Rhinolophus ferrumequinum: one gene and its partner. The protein of the gene in region 1 binds, or shares a complex with, the protein of each later gene. Links are inferred from orthologs where the notes say so. Each region holds a gene or a part of one and is shown on either strand. Other genes may lie near its edges.

Region 1 (7,934 bases):
GGGGAAGTGGAGACCGGAAGGTGGGCATGATTTGCTAAAGCTGATCACCTGTCTACCTTATGACTTAGCAATTCCATTCCTTGGTATATGCCCGAGAAATGAGTGCATATATATATATCCATCAAAAGATGTATATAAGAATGTTTACAGAATTATTCGTTTCTTTTTAATATATATTTTTAAATTTTATTGGGTAACTGTGTATTTTCCAGGAACTCCGAGTCAAGTCATTGTCCTTCAATCCAGTTGTGGAGGGCGCAGCTCAGCTCCAGTCCAGTCGTCGTTTTCAACCTAGTTGCAGGGGGCGCAGCCCACCATCCCATGCGGGAATTGAACTGGTGACCTTGTTGTTAAGAGCTCACGTTCCAACCGAGCCATCCGGCTGCCCACTGGCAGCTCAGTGGCAGCTCGTTGTCTTCAATCTAGTTGTGGAGGGCGCAGCTCACCGGCCCATGTGGGAATCGAACTGGCAACCCTGTTAAGAGCTCGCGCTCTAACCAACTGAGCCATCCGGCCGCCCAGAAGAATTATTCTTAATAGCCCCAAACAGAAAACTACCGAAATGCCCATCAACATTGGAACAAATGAAGTGTGATCTGTTCATACAATGGAAAAGAGCACAGCTATGAGGATGGACAAACCACTGATCACGTAAGAACGTGGACCTGTCTCATACCACCAAGCTGAATGAAAGAAGCCAGGTACTAAGTGAAATGAGTCAGACTGAGAAAGACTAATACCATATGCTCTCACTTATATGTGGAATCTAAAGAACAGAATAAACGAGCAAACGAAACAGAAATAGACTCAGAGATACAGAGGAAAACCTGATGGTTGCTAGATGGGAGGGAGTAGGGATGGGGGAGAAGCTGAAGGGATTAGGAAGTACAGACTGGTAGTCAGAAAATAGTCACGGGGATGTGAAATACAGTGTGGGGAATGTAGTCAGGAATGTTGTAAAGATCATGTAAGGTGCCAGATGGGCACTGGACTTACCATGGGGGTCACGTCATAGACATGTAGATGCCTGACCAATGCGCTATACACCTGAAGCTGAACTAGAATAATACTGAATGTCAACTAGAACTAACTATATAGGTATATATAGTCACGGGATGTGAAGTACAACATAGGGAAGATACTAGATGGTATTGTAACAGCTACGTACGGTGTCAGACGGGTAGTCGATTGGGGAGGATTATCACTTTGTGGGGTGTAAATGTCTAACTATTGCATTGTTTTGCACACCTGAAACTAATAAAAAAATATATTTAAAAAAGTCAGGTACAAAAATGTATGGATGCACTCGTATGAAGTTTCAAACCAGACGAAACTAACCTATGTTGTTACAAGTCGAGAGAGGGGTTACCCTTGCGGTAGGGAGGGTGGACCTGAAGGGAGCTTTCCAGAGAGGCCACCTGGAAGAAGACTGAAGTGCCAGGCATGAGTGAAGACGCCGTCTTGGATGTCCATCCCAGTAGAGCTTTCAGATGACTCAGTACCAGCCACTGTCTGACCTCAAGAACCACTTAGCTGAGCACAGTCAATCACAGGACCATGAAAGATGACACTAAATTGTCATATTAAGCCACTAAGTTTTCGGGTATTTGTTACACAGCAATAGATAATTGGAACACCCAGAAAAGGTGGTGGTGGCCCTTTTAAGGCCTGACACCCCCACTCCCACATCCCCAGTACAACAAAATCAACACCAGCCAATCAGACTTTCAGTCCCTTTAATTAGGTGCTCTGAGGAGAAGGCAGAATGGCAGGCAGGGGGTGGAGGAGGTGGTGTTTCTTGAGCCCCACTCAGCAACCAGTCAGTCCTCATCCTCCGGCAGCTGGATCTTGCTGGGGTCAAAGCAGTTGGATTCCATGATGGGGAGACCATTGGCCTCTCGGTATTTCACAAGCCTCTCAGCTTCCCGGCGGGCCCACTCCTGCATCCTGGAGGCAGCAGCGTGCGAGGGAGACATGAGGGAGCCTCACTGGACACCAATCCCCACCTTAGCTCCCCATTCCTCAATGGGGTAGGACAGGATTCCTGGCAGAATCCCCTTCAACCTCCACCCCTGCCTCTGCCCACACCCATCCCATTCTCTTAGACACCCCATGGACCTGTAGTCAGGCAGATAAGCCACAAAGGTGCTGCCAAGGACCAAGACGATGGAGAAGCCAAAGAAGAAGACGACGCGCATGTTCCAGACGTCCACAACAGGATCCTTGTCGTAGCCATGGGAGTCTGGGTTCTGCGGAAGGAGAAATCATTGAGGTTTCCTGCTGCTCCACAAAGCCTTATGCTGGCCCTGTATAAGCTGGCTTCTAATTGGACCAATCTCCTCTCCATCCCTAAATTCCTCTCATTCTGTTCTTGGGACTTGTCAAGCCCTTCCCACCACAGGACCTTTGCACTAGTTGTTCCCTCTGCCTGGAAAGCCTTTCCCCCCAGATTTCATGGCTGGATCTGCCTCTTCATTCCAAGTTTTGGCTTCATCATCACTTCCTTTAGGAGGCATTCCCTAGTCACCTTGTCTATTAAGTTGAACTATGGGAAATTGCCATTTTCATAGGTCAAAAATGGTTGAATATTGGCAATTTCCTATGGTTCAACCTAATAAAATTACTCCCTAACCCCAAGTCACTCTCAATCCACTTATCTTGCTTAACATTCTTTCTAGCATTTATTAGTTTATCAAAGTAGCATGCTCCTAGATCGCCTGTATCACATTATGTTATATGATCCATTACATACTCTACATTACTATTGTCAAATATTTTACATATTTATTTTCTGTGTTCTCCACTATCATATAAGAGCAAGGGCTTTATATGATTTCCACGCTGCTGAACCCCTAGGGCCCTGAACTGTGCCTGGCACGCAGGAGGCCCTCAATACATATTTACAGAATGAATGAATGAATGAGTATCCTATATATCCAAGCCCCTCAATCAGAGGTTAGTATCGATGAATTACCTCTTATGTGCCAGGCCTTTTCACATATACAAACTTCACAATATCCCAGTGAGATGGAAAGTGGCAATAATAAACACCTTCTAATGCTGAGTACTTACTAAGTGCCAGATGCTGTTCGGAGCATTTTAACTCATTTAATTACACAAGGCAGGTGTAATATTTTATTTTTTTAGAAGGTGTCCTAATACTTTGCCCATTTTACAAAGAAACTGAGGCACCAAGGGGTTAAGTTACTTGCCCAAGGTCACTCAGGTGAGTAACTGCCAGTGCCTGTATTCTAGCCCAGGTATTCTGATTTCAGAGGCTCTGCTATCAAGAGAGCACAACAGACGTGGTAGATCCAAGTTCAAATACCGGTTCTGACACACATTCAGTTATGCGAACTTGGGCAAGCCACTCCCCATCTCTGTGCTTCAATTTTCTCGTCTGTTCAATGGGTTTAGTAAGAGTACCTACTTCGAAATAGGGTTGTTTTGAGGATTTAGATGAATTAATGTATGTCAAGTGTTTAGAACACTGACACCAAAAAAAGTCGTACCAGTGTTTAGTATTATTATTATACTGTATTGCTTCTAAGTGTTTTGAGCACTGCCCATTTCAGGTTTGGTACTTGTTTGCAACATAAGGCCAATCTAATCTCTGGCCCTGAACAGAAGATATCACCAGACAAAGGAGGAAAAGAAACTAGGCAAAATTCCCAAGTCTTCAAGGATTTCACCAGCTGCACAATCCTCAGCCGCCTAGCAACGTCCTCTATGGCGCCCCATCCGCTGGTCCCCGACTGACCCTTTTGGCGTCCCGTTTCCCCTCCCTCTCACCTTCTCATAGAGGTTTTCGTCCTCTACATCTGGGTCCTCCTGCCAGCGCATAGTAGGTTCTGGTGCCCGCTTTCCCACCACAGCGGACGGGGCGATCACAGCCCTGGAGGAGCTGGATTCCCAGCGAAGCCAAGCAGCCGGGCGCCCTCGCGTCGCGGCTGCTGCCAAAAGGCGGCGAGCGCACAAACCTAACAGCCCAGCCGCCATGACAGGTGGTTCTGCAGGCTCTCAGGGGCGGGGACGGAAGTGCGACTCTGCGCAGCTGCAGTTGACCCCAGCGCGATAGTTGTCGCTCTGCCCCCACCGCACTAAATAGGCCCCGAGTCTGGATTTTTTTCAAGCGAGTGAGGCGCTGAGCAGCCCTCTTTGTCTCCCTCTGTCATGGCCTTAAGGGAGCAACCATTTTCCAATCCTCTCGATGGAGCTATGGCAGTTCTGCCTGAGTGGTCAGCTCCTACCCTTGCTGAGAAGAAAGCAGTGACATTTGGGTGGATGCAGTTCCCAGCCAAACGCACAGGAACTTCCCTTGCCCTCTTGGAGAAGAGGCGGAGCTTCCGTTTGTCTTTCATCTTCGAAGGAAGCCAAGCTTCTAAAAAGCGGGCCTCGCCAGATTGGCCAATAGCTACTCCTTTTCTCGACTTGTGGGCGTTCGCACAGGGAATGGGGAGGTAGCAGATGCTGGCCAATCAGAGCGGGTCGGGGCTGGCCGATGGCATACGGTGACCAATAGACGCGACCAGCCTGAGCGCGCTCCCTCGGTAGGTGGATGGTGGTCGAAGCGCCGGTTCCCTGCTCTTGGTCGCCATTTTGTGCTGCTGATTGCGGCCGACGGGGAGTAGGTGGCAGTTAGTTTTCCGGGGAGGGCAGTGCGATTGGCGCTTCTCCCCTCCTCCCTCCCCCGCCTTTCAGTTTCCAGCCTCGGACTTGGTTGTCGCGCGGACCGGCTCCAGCTGAGTTGGGAGGGTTGGTGGCGGTGGCAGCGGGCCGAGGTGATGTCAGGGAGCCCTCCCTTGACAGCCCGGGCCGAAAAGGTGAGCGTCGACGCTGGTCGTGGGGGCGGAGGTAAGGGGCTGGGGGCGGGGGGTGGTGCGTAGAAGAGGAGAGAGGGCGGACTGCGGGCTGCAACTGAGGGATGCGTGCACTGTCTGAGCCCGGGATGGGTTGTCTTTTTAAAAAAAATTTTCCCCCTTTTGAGAGCCGTGGCGCGTGCGCGATCGGGACACTGGATAGGTGCACGCGGGTTGGGGGAAGGGAGGGACGGATGGGAGTGGGATACTGTGGCTTACTGTGCCTGAGACACCGAATTTTATCCGTGGGGAGGCGAGTGTCTGCGGCTATGGTTTTTATCCACAGGAGAGGGGCTGTGCTGTCTGTTCTGTGTGACTTTGTTACTTTCCTGTTCGTGGGGGTGTTCTGTGGCTCGGGTCCTTAGTCTTGGAAGGAGGAGTAAGAACGTTTGTATGACCCTGGTCTTTATCCTTGGAGTGTGTGTCTAACTCTGGTCCCTATCCATGGGGAGAGGTCCTTATCCATAGGGAGTCTTCTTGCGACTGGCCCTAACCGACTTAACTGGGTAGGGAGGGAATGCAAGGAATGTGTATGACTTATTGCCCGTTCTTTGGGAAGGGGGTTCCTATCTGTGATTCTGACGTTCATCTATTGAAAAGGGGCTTCGGGGTGTGTTTATGACCCATACTTATTGTGGGTTCCTGTCTGTGATTTTGGCCCAGAGTTATTTGGGGCGCGTGTCTGTGACTTTGGTCCCTATCTGTTGTGGATACCAATGTGTGACTGGCCCCTTTGCCAGAGTCTACTGAGGGTTTTGTATCAGCTGTTATCCGCTGGGGCCCCTGGTTGTTCTAACTCTTACCCATCTGGGAGCAGGTAACTCTGGTTCCCTGTAGCTTGAGGAGGAAGAGAAAATTGGTGTGTGTGTATAAACGGAGGAAAGGTGTGGTGGTAACTTAGTGTGGGGCAGATGCTGTTGTTGCCTGGCCTTGCCTGATTCCTGTTCAGAGGGCGAGACCTGAGGATTCTGGGATACTGTGTGGCGACCCCTGGCCAAGTCATGTGGCTTGGGAATTCCTTAGTTCTCATGGTAGCCCTGAGGGTTAGGTGAAATGACTGCCCTTGCATCCCAACGGAATAGGACAATGGTTTGGAAAAGCCTCTGAAAGGGCTCCTTTTGCTCTGGGGAGAAAGCTGCCTTGGGACCTGGCTGCTCATAAGAGACAGGGTTCAGGGCTGAGCCAGTTGCCGTGTGAGGCCCAAAGCTGTGTTGGCCAGGAGCCCAGGGAGGCGGCAGCTGTCTCATTGCCAAGTTAGCCCCTTCACCCCCTAAGCCTTTCATGGTCTCCTGCTGTCTTATAGGGGGCAGCCAGCATCTTGTTGGGAGGATGAAATCACACCTTGGGGGTCCATGGAAGGAGACTGGTGGGTGCCTGGGACCCTTTTATGAAGTCTTTCCTCTATGCCTAATGTGCCCAATCTGGAACAAGTCATTCAGCACCGAGAACTCCCCCTGGGCAGGTAGCTCCGGGCTTGAACTTGTCTACCAGTTTCAGATGGCAACGCCCTGATCACAGAATGGGTGGCACCACCAGTTCTCTCTGCAAGATGCTCCCTGTCTGCTGAAGGCCTTGCTCTTTCTATTAGGGCAGTGGACTCTAATCTCACATTTGTATGGGAAGGAAAGGAGCTGGCCAAGTACTGGGGGGGTGGGCGGGGGGGGGAGGAGCAGCTGCCTTCCCACTCTGGTCCTCAGGAGCACTAGGAATTGGGAAACAACGTCCTCAGGCTAAGGGACAGCAGAGAGCCTTAACAAGGAGCGTTTCTCAAGGAGGCCCTCTCTGCCCCAACTGCTTTGACCCCTTTTTTCCTTCCTCTCTCCCCAGAGTCCCTGCAGGAGGCATCACCCAGGCTGGCAGATCATGGTGGCAGCTGTGGGGGTGGCTGGGAAGTGAAACGGAGCCAGCGGCTGAGGAGGGGCCCCAGCAGCCCCCGAAGGCCCTATCAGGATATGGAGTATGAAAGACGGTGAGTTACCCACTCCCACCCCCCTCAAGCAGCCGAGGCTTGTCCCCATCTCAGAACTGCTCCAGGAGGGTGCTAGGAAAGGGCTTCCAGGCAGAGCGAACAGTGCAGTAGATGATTGGTTTCTTTTCAGCAGACATTTACTTGGCACCTGTTGTGAGCCAGGACCTGTGTGCTAGGCTCTCGGAGAGCTGTGATGAAGGGGACAGATAAGATTGCAGCCTTCTCCTTACTCAGGGTCTCACAAGGCGGGCCACACAGTTTACAGGTGATTCCAAAACAGCTGGATGGGTGCCACGGCTGGTTGTGAGAGTGGGAAAGGATTAAAGAGAAAGGGGAGAATAGAGGCTGATGCCCAGGTTTCCAATTTGGGGGACCCTGGTAGGTATATGGTGCCATTCACCAAGGTCCAGACAGCTACTGCAAGAGGAGAGGCAGAGACGGGTAGTGGGTTGTAAGTGCCTGTGGATTCTCAGGAGAGGTGTGCACTATAGCTTTGGGTTTAAGGGATGGAAGGGAGTGGTACCTTCAGAGTTAGGAATTTGCCAGGCCAAGTGTGGGGCAAGCCAGGTCAGATAGTGGGAGATTTCAGGGGCAGGATGGGCTGAAGTGGGCGTGATGCTTGTCTTGGAATGGGACACTCTTGAGCACTTATTTTTAAATTCTGGTCGAACAAGAAACAGTTGGGACACTGGATAAAATACAGAGATTCCAGACCATACCCTCACCATCAACTGGTGGATCTCCCCAGTTGATTCTAATGTTGGTGATCTGTTCCTGACATTTTAGGATTACATAGGAAAGCAGACCTAACTCTCCCAGAAAGCCTCTATTAAGAGTCAGTAGATTTTGTAAAGTCAGGGAAGAAGTAATTTTTGTAATGTCTTACAAAGGGTTTCTTCTACCTCCAGGCCCTTTTTAAAATGTAGAATTATAATACTTTGTTTTCTGAAAAGTGAGCCCAAATTTGAGCTGTTGTCATAATCTAGTGTTATTCAGTCTTGACCTTCTTTAAAAATGTCTTTTGAAAGGCATTCAATTTGGGATGGTATTCACTAGAAGTACCCTGTGGCAGTTTCTGAGTTTGAGTAAGTGACATACTTGCTTCA
Region 2 (7,866 bases), on another chromosome or scaffold:
ATCTGTGTTGTGTGTTTTTCAATATATCATTAAATTTTAAAGGGAATATAAAAGTTCATTTTGATGGGAGAAATATGATCACCTAAAAACTTCCCTTTTAACATACCATGAAACTGTAGAGATATCTCAGTTAAATTTGGTCATTTGGTCCTTTGTTCTTTGTACAAAATTAGCAAAAAGTGGTGTGAGGAGATATGTGGGAAGACTGCCTGGGACAGGTAAAAAGCTGCCTGGAGCACACTTAAATGTCTATAAACTGGCTTATCCTCTCAATGTGCAGAGTGGTCAGATCCCAAGAACTTGACTCACACTACCTGAAAGGGTTGCAAGACTGATGTGGCCAATAGTCTGTCAAGTTGTTCCTTGCATTGAGAATTGTGACTGCATTGAGAAGTGTCTATAAAACTCACATCAGTATGGTCAGTCCATTCTCTTGTTTCTGTGGGAATATAACTCACAAAACCTGAAGGTTGCTTTCTGAGTATGGAGTCAGACCAAGGAGAGTTAAGTGTGTTTCCAATGTAATGGCTTCATGCCATTAGTCATGGCCTTTTGTGACCATTTAGTCAACAAATGTTTGTTGAGACCCTGCTGTGCAGCCAGCAGTGTTATGGGCCATGGGAATAAAGCAATGAATAAAACAAAGTCCTTCCTCTCATGGTACTTACCTTATCATGGTATATAGGTGGTCTGGCTAACAGGATGGAAAAATATTGCGTTCTTGCTCTGTCCATACTAGAACTGGACACCTGTGTAATATTCCAGCTTCTTTCTTCTTAGACATTGTTTGGAAAGGTACTGACAGCATTTACTACTGTGAACTTAGATGTATGAATTCATTTGGGCCTGAATGTCCTTCCTTTTCTTTAAGTTTACTTGGATATCACTGCTCTCTGATGAGCTGATCTCACCACTTACCTTTGAAGACAACCTGACATTCTTTATTTACAGTCCTTGAGGGTCAATTATCTGTAACCCTAAGAACTGAATACATTCATATTTGATACATATATAAACAAGAGAGACAGTCTGGTGTGGGAAAAACAACACAAGCTTTGAAGCTGGCTTTGGTATGAATTCCTGCTCCATTAATACTTAGTTCCTAGTTCTACGTAATTTAGCAAGGTAGCAAACCTACTTTTATAGCTTTAAAAAAAAATAGTACAAGTAATATACGCATAAATTTTCATTAACATTCAAACTTGGTTTTATTACTTTAGGGGTTACTTTAGGGTTCATATTGTACGTCTTCAATAGATCACAGTGATAATGTATTCAATTGCCACTTCATGTATAGTATAGTTATACCACTTCGTGTATAGTATAATGATCTGACAATAATATACTTGCATTTCTCCTTTTCGGGACTTTGTATTATTGTTGTCATACATTTAATTTATACGTATATTATAAAGCTCACAATACATTGTTATTATATTTGTTTAAACAGTTAATAATCTTTTAACAAGATTTAAATACTAAGAAAAAAACTTACATATTTACCATGTACTAGTAGTTACCATTCCCTGCACTCTTTCTTTTTCCTACCTGATACCATTTCCCTCTCCCTGAAGGATGTCCTTTAACATTTCTTGTAGTAAAAATAGGTTGATGATGAGTTCCTTCAGATTTTATATCTTAAAAAGACATCTTTTGGCCTCCATTTTTGAAAGAAATTTTTACTAGGTATTCAATTCTCTGACTGCACTGACTTTTTTTCTTTCAGTCATTACAGATATTGATTTAACATTTTCTTGTTGTCATTGTTTCCAACAAGAATTTTGTTGTGATTTTTATTTTTTCCCTCTGTAGGTAACATGCCTTTATTCTCTGGAGAGTTTCTCTCTTTATCACCATTTTTGAGCAATATGATTTTGATGGGCCTTAATGTAATTTTCTTTATGTTTCTTCTGTCTGGAGTTCCTCGAGTTTCTTAGATCTATGAGTTTATAGTTTTTCTCAAAGCTGGAAAATTTTTCAATCATTATTTCTTCAAATGTTTTTTTCCTGATCCCTATCCCTTACTTTCCAGAACTCTATTGCACATATATTAGGAAGCTTGAAGTTGTCCTACAGCTCATTGCTTTTCTATTTCTAAAATTTTTAAATTTCTCTGTGTGTTTCATTTTGTATAGTTCTTTCATTGCATGTTTAAGTTCACAAATCCTTCCTTCTGTCATGTCTAATTTTCCATTAATCCAACCCAGTGTATTTTTTCATTTCAGGCATTATAGTTTTTATCTCTAGAAATTCAGTTTCATTCTTTAAATATTTTTCATGTGTCCACTTAACTTTTTGAACACATAGAATACAGTTATAATAACTGTTTAATGTGCTTATTTTAACATCCATAGCAGTACTTGGTGGGTTTCAATGGACTGATTGATTTTCCTTATTATGGGTCATATTTTCCTACTTCTTTGCATGCCTGGTAAATTGGACATCACTCATTGTGAATTTTGTCTTGCTGGGTGCTGGATATTTTTGTATTCCTGTAAATACTCTTGAGTGTTTTCGGGAGGAGACGTGGAGATGCAGTTAAGTTTACATGGAAACAGTTTTATCCTTTCAGATATTGTATTTAAGATTTGTTCGGCAGTACCAGCGCAGTGCTCCACCTAGAGCTAATTATTTTCAACTGCTTAGACAGTACCCTTCTGAGTTATCTACCCAATGCCCCAGGAATTGTGCAGTTTTCCCAGTCTGGCCAGAAGGAATAGGCACTATTCCGGGCTCTGTGTGAGTACCAGGCACTGCGCTATTCCTTCCAATGTTTTTCCGTTGGTTCTTTCTTCAATTTAGGGAACAGGTCTTCTATTTTGTATTCCCCAGAGTCTGGAGCATTGCTCTCAAATTTTGCCTAATCAATATCATCCTCATAAATGTGAAACAGGAGAAGGTTCTTCCTGGGATAAGTGCTCCTCCTTTGTACTCCCACAACTGCCTGTAACTCCTCTATCGTAGAAATTATTATATCATCTTGAAATTGCATATCTGATAGACTTTATGGGGCAGAGACTACGTTTGTCTTGTTCAATGCCATTTCCCCAGTATACAGCACAGGAGGAGTACAACAAGGAATTATGAAATATGAATTCTGAATTCTGCTTCCAAACTGCTTGGTGAGAAAGTGGGTCTTTAAACAAGTCGCAGAGCCGCAGACCTCTAGAACAGGAAATGTTAAATAGACCAGGCCTCAGGAGTTCATTTGACTGTAAGGTTATAATCTTATCCTGTCAGGCGGGTTGGGCCTTGACCCTTGTAAGCCAACTAAGCGGGAGCATTGTGTGGGATATGTTTGTAAAGGGTTCAGACTAGTCTAAAGGTCTCGGGGCATATTTAAATTCTGTGCAGGCTTTTCCTTCCTTCCACATATGTTTTAATGTCTACTGATGCTGGCACTGGAGCTGAAAGCCTTCATCCAGTATAGAGTTGCAAGAGACACTGTTCACATGATATTTTGTGTTATTGTCTAGGAGGCATTTGATATCATGTACATGCAGACAGCACGACCAGGGTTCCATCTCAGCCTGCTACATAAAGATCAATGAAAGGCAACTCTATTCTTTATTTTCTTTTGACTATCTGGCCACGTACATCTTTCTAACCTTGCTTTAAACCAAATTCAACAAACATCTTAGAATTCCTACTCTGTGCCAGGCTTTCCAGTTACCATTGGGACTTATCATTGGATCAGCCCTTAAACAACAGAAGCAGCACTCCCAGAGTGGCCTAAGGATGGGACAATATTCAGTTTTTGAGCCCTGGATCTCCCTCTTTACAAATCTTTCTCTCCATCTTCTGCCATCACATTTATAGTACAGCTCATCTTATCCCTGAGCACGAACAAAAGTGAGACGAAACAAATTAAGAATAGTGTGGGAAGTGAATTCATTCCATTAATTGATTGATTCATTCATCAGTTAAATATTAATTTTAAGCACCTACTATGTGTCAGACACCAGGCTGAATGTTGGTAGTATAAGGACTCGCAGAGACAGCCTTTGTCCTTAAAGAAGTCACAGTCCTGTGTTAGAGGCAGGCAAGTGAAGAAACTGTTACAGTAATGTGAGTGAGGTAGAAGGTAGAAGAATACATAAGGCCAATATCTAATTTCTTGAGAAGACATAAATTCTTGGAAATGGTGTTTATCTTTCACAGTTCCTAACAACATAATTTGTATAAGGTGAGCAGTCCGTAAAGAGTCAAAAAACCTGGATTCTCATCCCAGCTTTGTTTTTGACCAGCTGTGTGTCCTTTGACAGTCATTTCAGCTTTCTGACTCTCAGTTTCCCATCTGTAAAGTTAAACTGTTGATACCAGTCCTCCAATAGACTGGGTTATTGTAAAGATCAATGGTCACGAGAGTGACTTTTTAATTAATTGTAAAGACCTGTGCAACATAAAATATGCAATCATAAGTTATATTCTTAAATGTTTTTTGAATTTTAAAACAGAACTTGTTCAGCACTAACGTTTTCTTTAAAAAAAAAAAAAGAGAAGAAAAAAAAACCGAAAAGCAGACCAGTCGGTAAAAGGTCCTTCATTGTAGTCACCTTCACTGTTTAAAGCACGTCTGGCTTCACTTTTTCAACACTCCAGGAAGATATTTATTACTATCCCTATTAGACAAATGAGAGAAGTGAGTGCCAAAGAATTTATCCAAGAGCACAACCTCTTCAAAACCCAAGCCTGGGCCACCTCCCAACGTCTTTAAACGTCAACAAAAGTCAAAAAGACCCACCCCCCGGCCGCAGGGGGCATCGTTTCTCCGGAAGCCCAGCGTCCCCAGGCGCAGCGCTGGACGAGACTTCAATTCCGCCCGATGACGCATGCGGCCCCACCCCCGACCATCCACCTCTCGCGGGATCTCTCGGGAGGACGGATGGGGTCAGGTCCCATCATGGCGGCTGAAGAGGCGGATGTGGATATCGAAGGGGACGTGGTGGCCGCGGCAGCACAGCCAGGGTGAGGCACAGGGACCGGGTCTCGCCGGGACGCGGAGGGGGGCGGGTGCGAGGAGAGTGCCGCAGAATGGCGGCGCGTCGGTCAAGGGCCAGGGGAGCGGAAGAAAACCGCGGCGCCAGGGTCTCCTAGCGGCCGGTGAGGGGCCGCGCCCATCGGGCCAGCCGGCCACTCCTGAGCCCAGCGGGCGGGGACCCCGAGCGAGTGTCGGACGGCTGTCGCACCTTTTATCTGGATGCCGTGAGGGCTCCGAGTTCGCCTAGCGCAAGGCACTCTTCCGAACAATTCCTTCTGCCACTCCCTCCACCCCCCAATTTCGCCAGAATCCTCCTCCTCACCCCCGCCCGACAGTAACTCCGACAAGGGCGGCCCCTGGACGAGATCCGAGGTCAGGGATCCTTGTTCCTTGCTTGGCAAGCCGTGTGACCTTGGGCGTTTCAGTCCGACTGGCCGCAGGTTTCCTCTTCCACGTAGGGATAGTTGTGAAAAAGTTCCTGAGAGGCAGCTTGACTTAAGGGAAAGGGGTAGGACTTCGGAGCTGGACAGCTCGGGGTTCTCCTCCTGCATTGGCGGGCCCTGCCAGTGTCTAGCAGTGTGACCTCAGGCCAGACGTTAAACTTGTCTCCGCCTCAGACAGCTCATGTGTAAACGGGCAAATCATGAAATGTACCTTGTACGAGTCCGGTGAGGATCCAATGAAATATAATTGTTGGGTGTGTTTTAGCATATGTTAGGTGCTCGGTAACTGTCGTGTTCTTGACTGTTCTGTTACCCTCGAGGATGGTATGGTGAGAACTCAGTGAGGGGTCACGATGAATTTAACACCAATTTCTGCATAATAGGCCAGTGTCGTTTTAAACGGCACCATCCAGCTTGAGATCTAACCCTTTGACTCTTTGCTGTCTGAAATAGAAATTGATGCATACCATTTTAAAAATGTACCTCCAGAGTCTCCCTTTAATAGTGGAAGAGGCCAAGACGGATGAGGAATCAAAAGACCTCCATACTAAACTCAGCCAGCTGTGCTGCTCATAACTGGGAACAACTTCATTAGAACTCCATCTACTGTGTTGAACCATGTGAAAGCGCCAGTCTTAGAACGTTTTGACCTGTAAAATGGCAATTTCATATGATCCAAGCTAACATTGGGGTTTCTGTAAATTGTGGACAACAGTACTGACCCTGCCCATGAGGGACTAACATAAGAGGTTTAAAGTTTTTGTGAATTCTAAAGCATTGGAAACATGTGCGGAGTAATTAAATTCATAGTTATTCTCTCCCAAATCGTTAGGCAAATCAGTCCAAAGCTCTACAGATGAGTAGGGAACCTTTAATAACCATCATTGTTCACATTAGTAGATGAAATTAATCTTTTTTTTTCTTTTTTCCGCCACCCCCCTCCCTCTCCGGTTCAAGCCGTGGTTTCTCGGTCTAGCTGTGTAGGACGCAGCTATGTTGCCAACCCAAATCTCTTTTCCTGAGCTTCGGATCTGTTTATCCAACACTCCGAAACTATATGCTCTTGGTGGTTCCACAAGCCCCTCAGTCTGAGCTTAGAAATTTTCTCCACCAAACGTGCCTCTCTAGGTTCCCAGTTCAATAAATGGCGCCAACTACTCAGTCACACAAGGCACAGACCTACATGTACACTTTTCCTTGACTTTTTCCTTCTACTCTTTCTGTCCTATCAGTTATTAAGGGTCTGTTGACTCTAAGTATACTCTCAGATGTGTTCACTTCTTCCTGTTGCTTGTGCCCTTGGTCTAAATTACTGTCACCTTTTTCTAGTATTTATATAATCACTCCTTCATAACTGTTCCTTGTCTCTTTGGCCCCTTCTATACTTCCCTGAAGTTAGAGCCGCCTTTCTTACATCCGTCTCTGATTGTGTTATTCCTTTCAATTCCCAATTGACTTCTTGATAAAACATTCATTCCTTAACTCCTAGAGATCTGTGTGATCCATGCCTCACCTACTTCAGTCATTCAATCATTCAACAAATATTGATTGAGCACCTTTTGTATACCAAGCAGTTACCAAAACTTAAACCCTTGCTCTAATAGAACCAAACATTCTTTATTAGGTAAGACAGACAATAAACCTCCTATATATATTTCAAATGGAGATAAGTGGGAAAAGAAAAAGGAGGGAAGGTGGATGGCTCCTCAGCTTTATCCCTCGCACTTACCCAGGGAAAAGTATAAGGTCTGAAAGTACAGGCCCTCTGGTCAGTGTGGATATTGTGTAAGAACTGGATTTGAAAAAGAGAGAAGCAACAGAATTGGCAACAAATTGAATGTGCATTGTGAGGAAATAAGGACAGGCTCAGATTTCTGGCTTGGGCTTTTAAGGGGATGAAGATGCCATAGACTGAGATAGGGAACGATGGAAGAGGAGCATATTTGAGAGGAAAGTGAGCTCAGGTTTAAACACATTAATTGGTGGTACCTGTGGATGTCCAGGTAGGTGTCTTGATGCATACACCAGCGGTGTGGATGTTGCTAATTCTTACTGAGGAATACTATGTAAAAAGATTTCTGAAGTAAACTTGAAGTGATTCTAGTCCCACCTCCTGCACCCTTGGCAGGTCTAGTTAGTTAAACAAAGGTTTCCTTCTGCTGATATGAGTCTAAGAATCCTTTATTTTGCGTTCCTGGTAGATCCTGTCAAGTCAGAATTGACATTTGAATTAAAACCTTTTTGCCATCAACAGTTGAGAAACATTATTGCTTTTAGTTTATTGTAGATAATCTGTTAATCCCATAATTTATTATAACCACTGTTGGACTAATTGAAGGTTCAAAAATATAAAGCGGTATATAGGTTTTTGTAGTCTTAAGAGGTACAAAATTCTCACCACTAGAGTAGGTCTGGGAAAAGTCTACAACTTAACTAGGAAAC

The links.
Region 2: RBM10 (region 1) and MYSM1 share a complex: the UniProt entries of both Homo sapiens proteins name them as parts of the large chromatin remodeling complex. The link is inferred for Rhinolophus ferrumequinum from reciprocal best matches to the Homo sapiens genes RBM10 and MYSM1.

What each region holds. Positions count from the first base shown.
Region 1 is NC_046284.1:86,742,757-86,750,690, reverse strand, and holds the start of RBM10 (RNA-binding protein 10), read left to right. Parts: upstream 1-4,471; 5' UTR 4,472-4,784; coding exon 4,785-4,854; intron 4,855-6,686; coding exon 6,687-6,828; intron 6,829-7,934. Other genes in the region: NDUFB11 (NADH dehydrogenase [ubiquinone] 1 beta subcomplex subunit 11, mitochondrial), read right to left, coding at 1,821-1,947, 2,119-2,249, 3,793-3,999. UniProt on the Homo sapiens protein: Binds to ssRNA containing the consensus sequence 5'-AGGUAA-3'. May be involved in post-transcriptional processing, most probably in mRNA splicing. Binds to RNA homopolymers, with a preference for poly(G) and poly(U) and little for poly(A).
Region 2 is NC_046292.1:42,464,433-42,472,298, reverse strand, and holds the start of MYSM1 (deubiquitinase MYSM1), read left to right. Parts: upstream 1-4,689; 5' UTR 4,690-4,825; coding exon 4,826-4,968; intron 4,969-7,866. UniProt on the Homo sapiens protein: Metalloprotease with deubiquitinase activity that plays important regulator roles in hematopoietic stem cell function, blood cell production and immune response.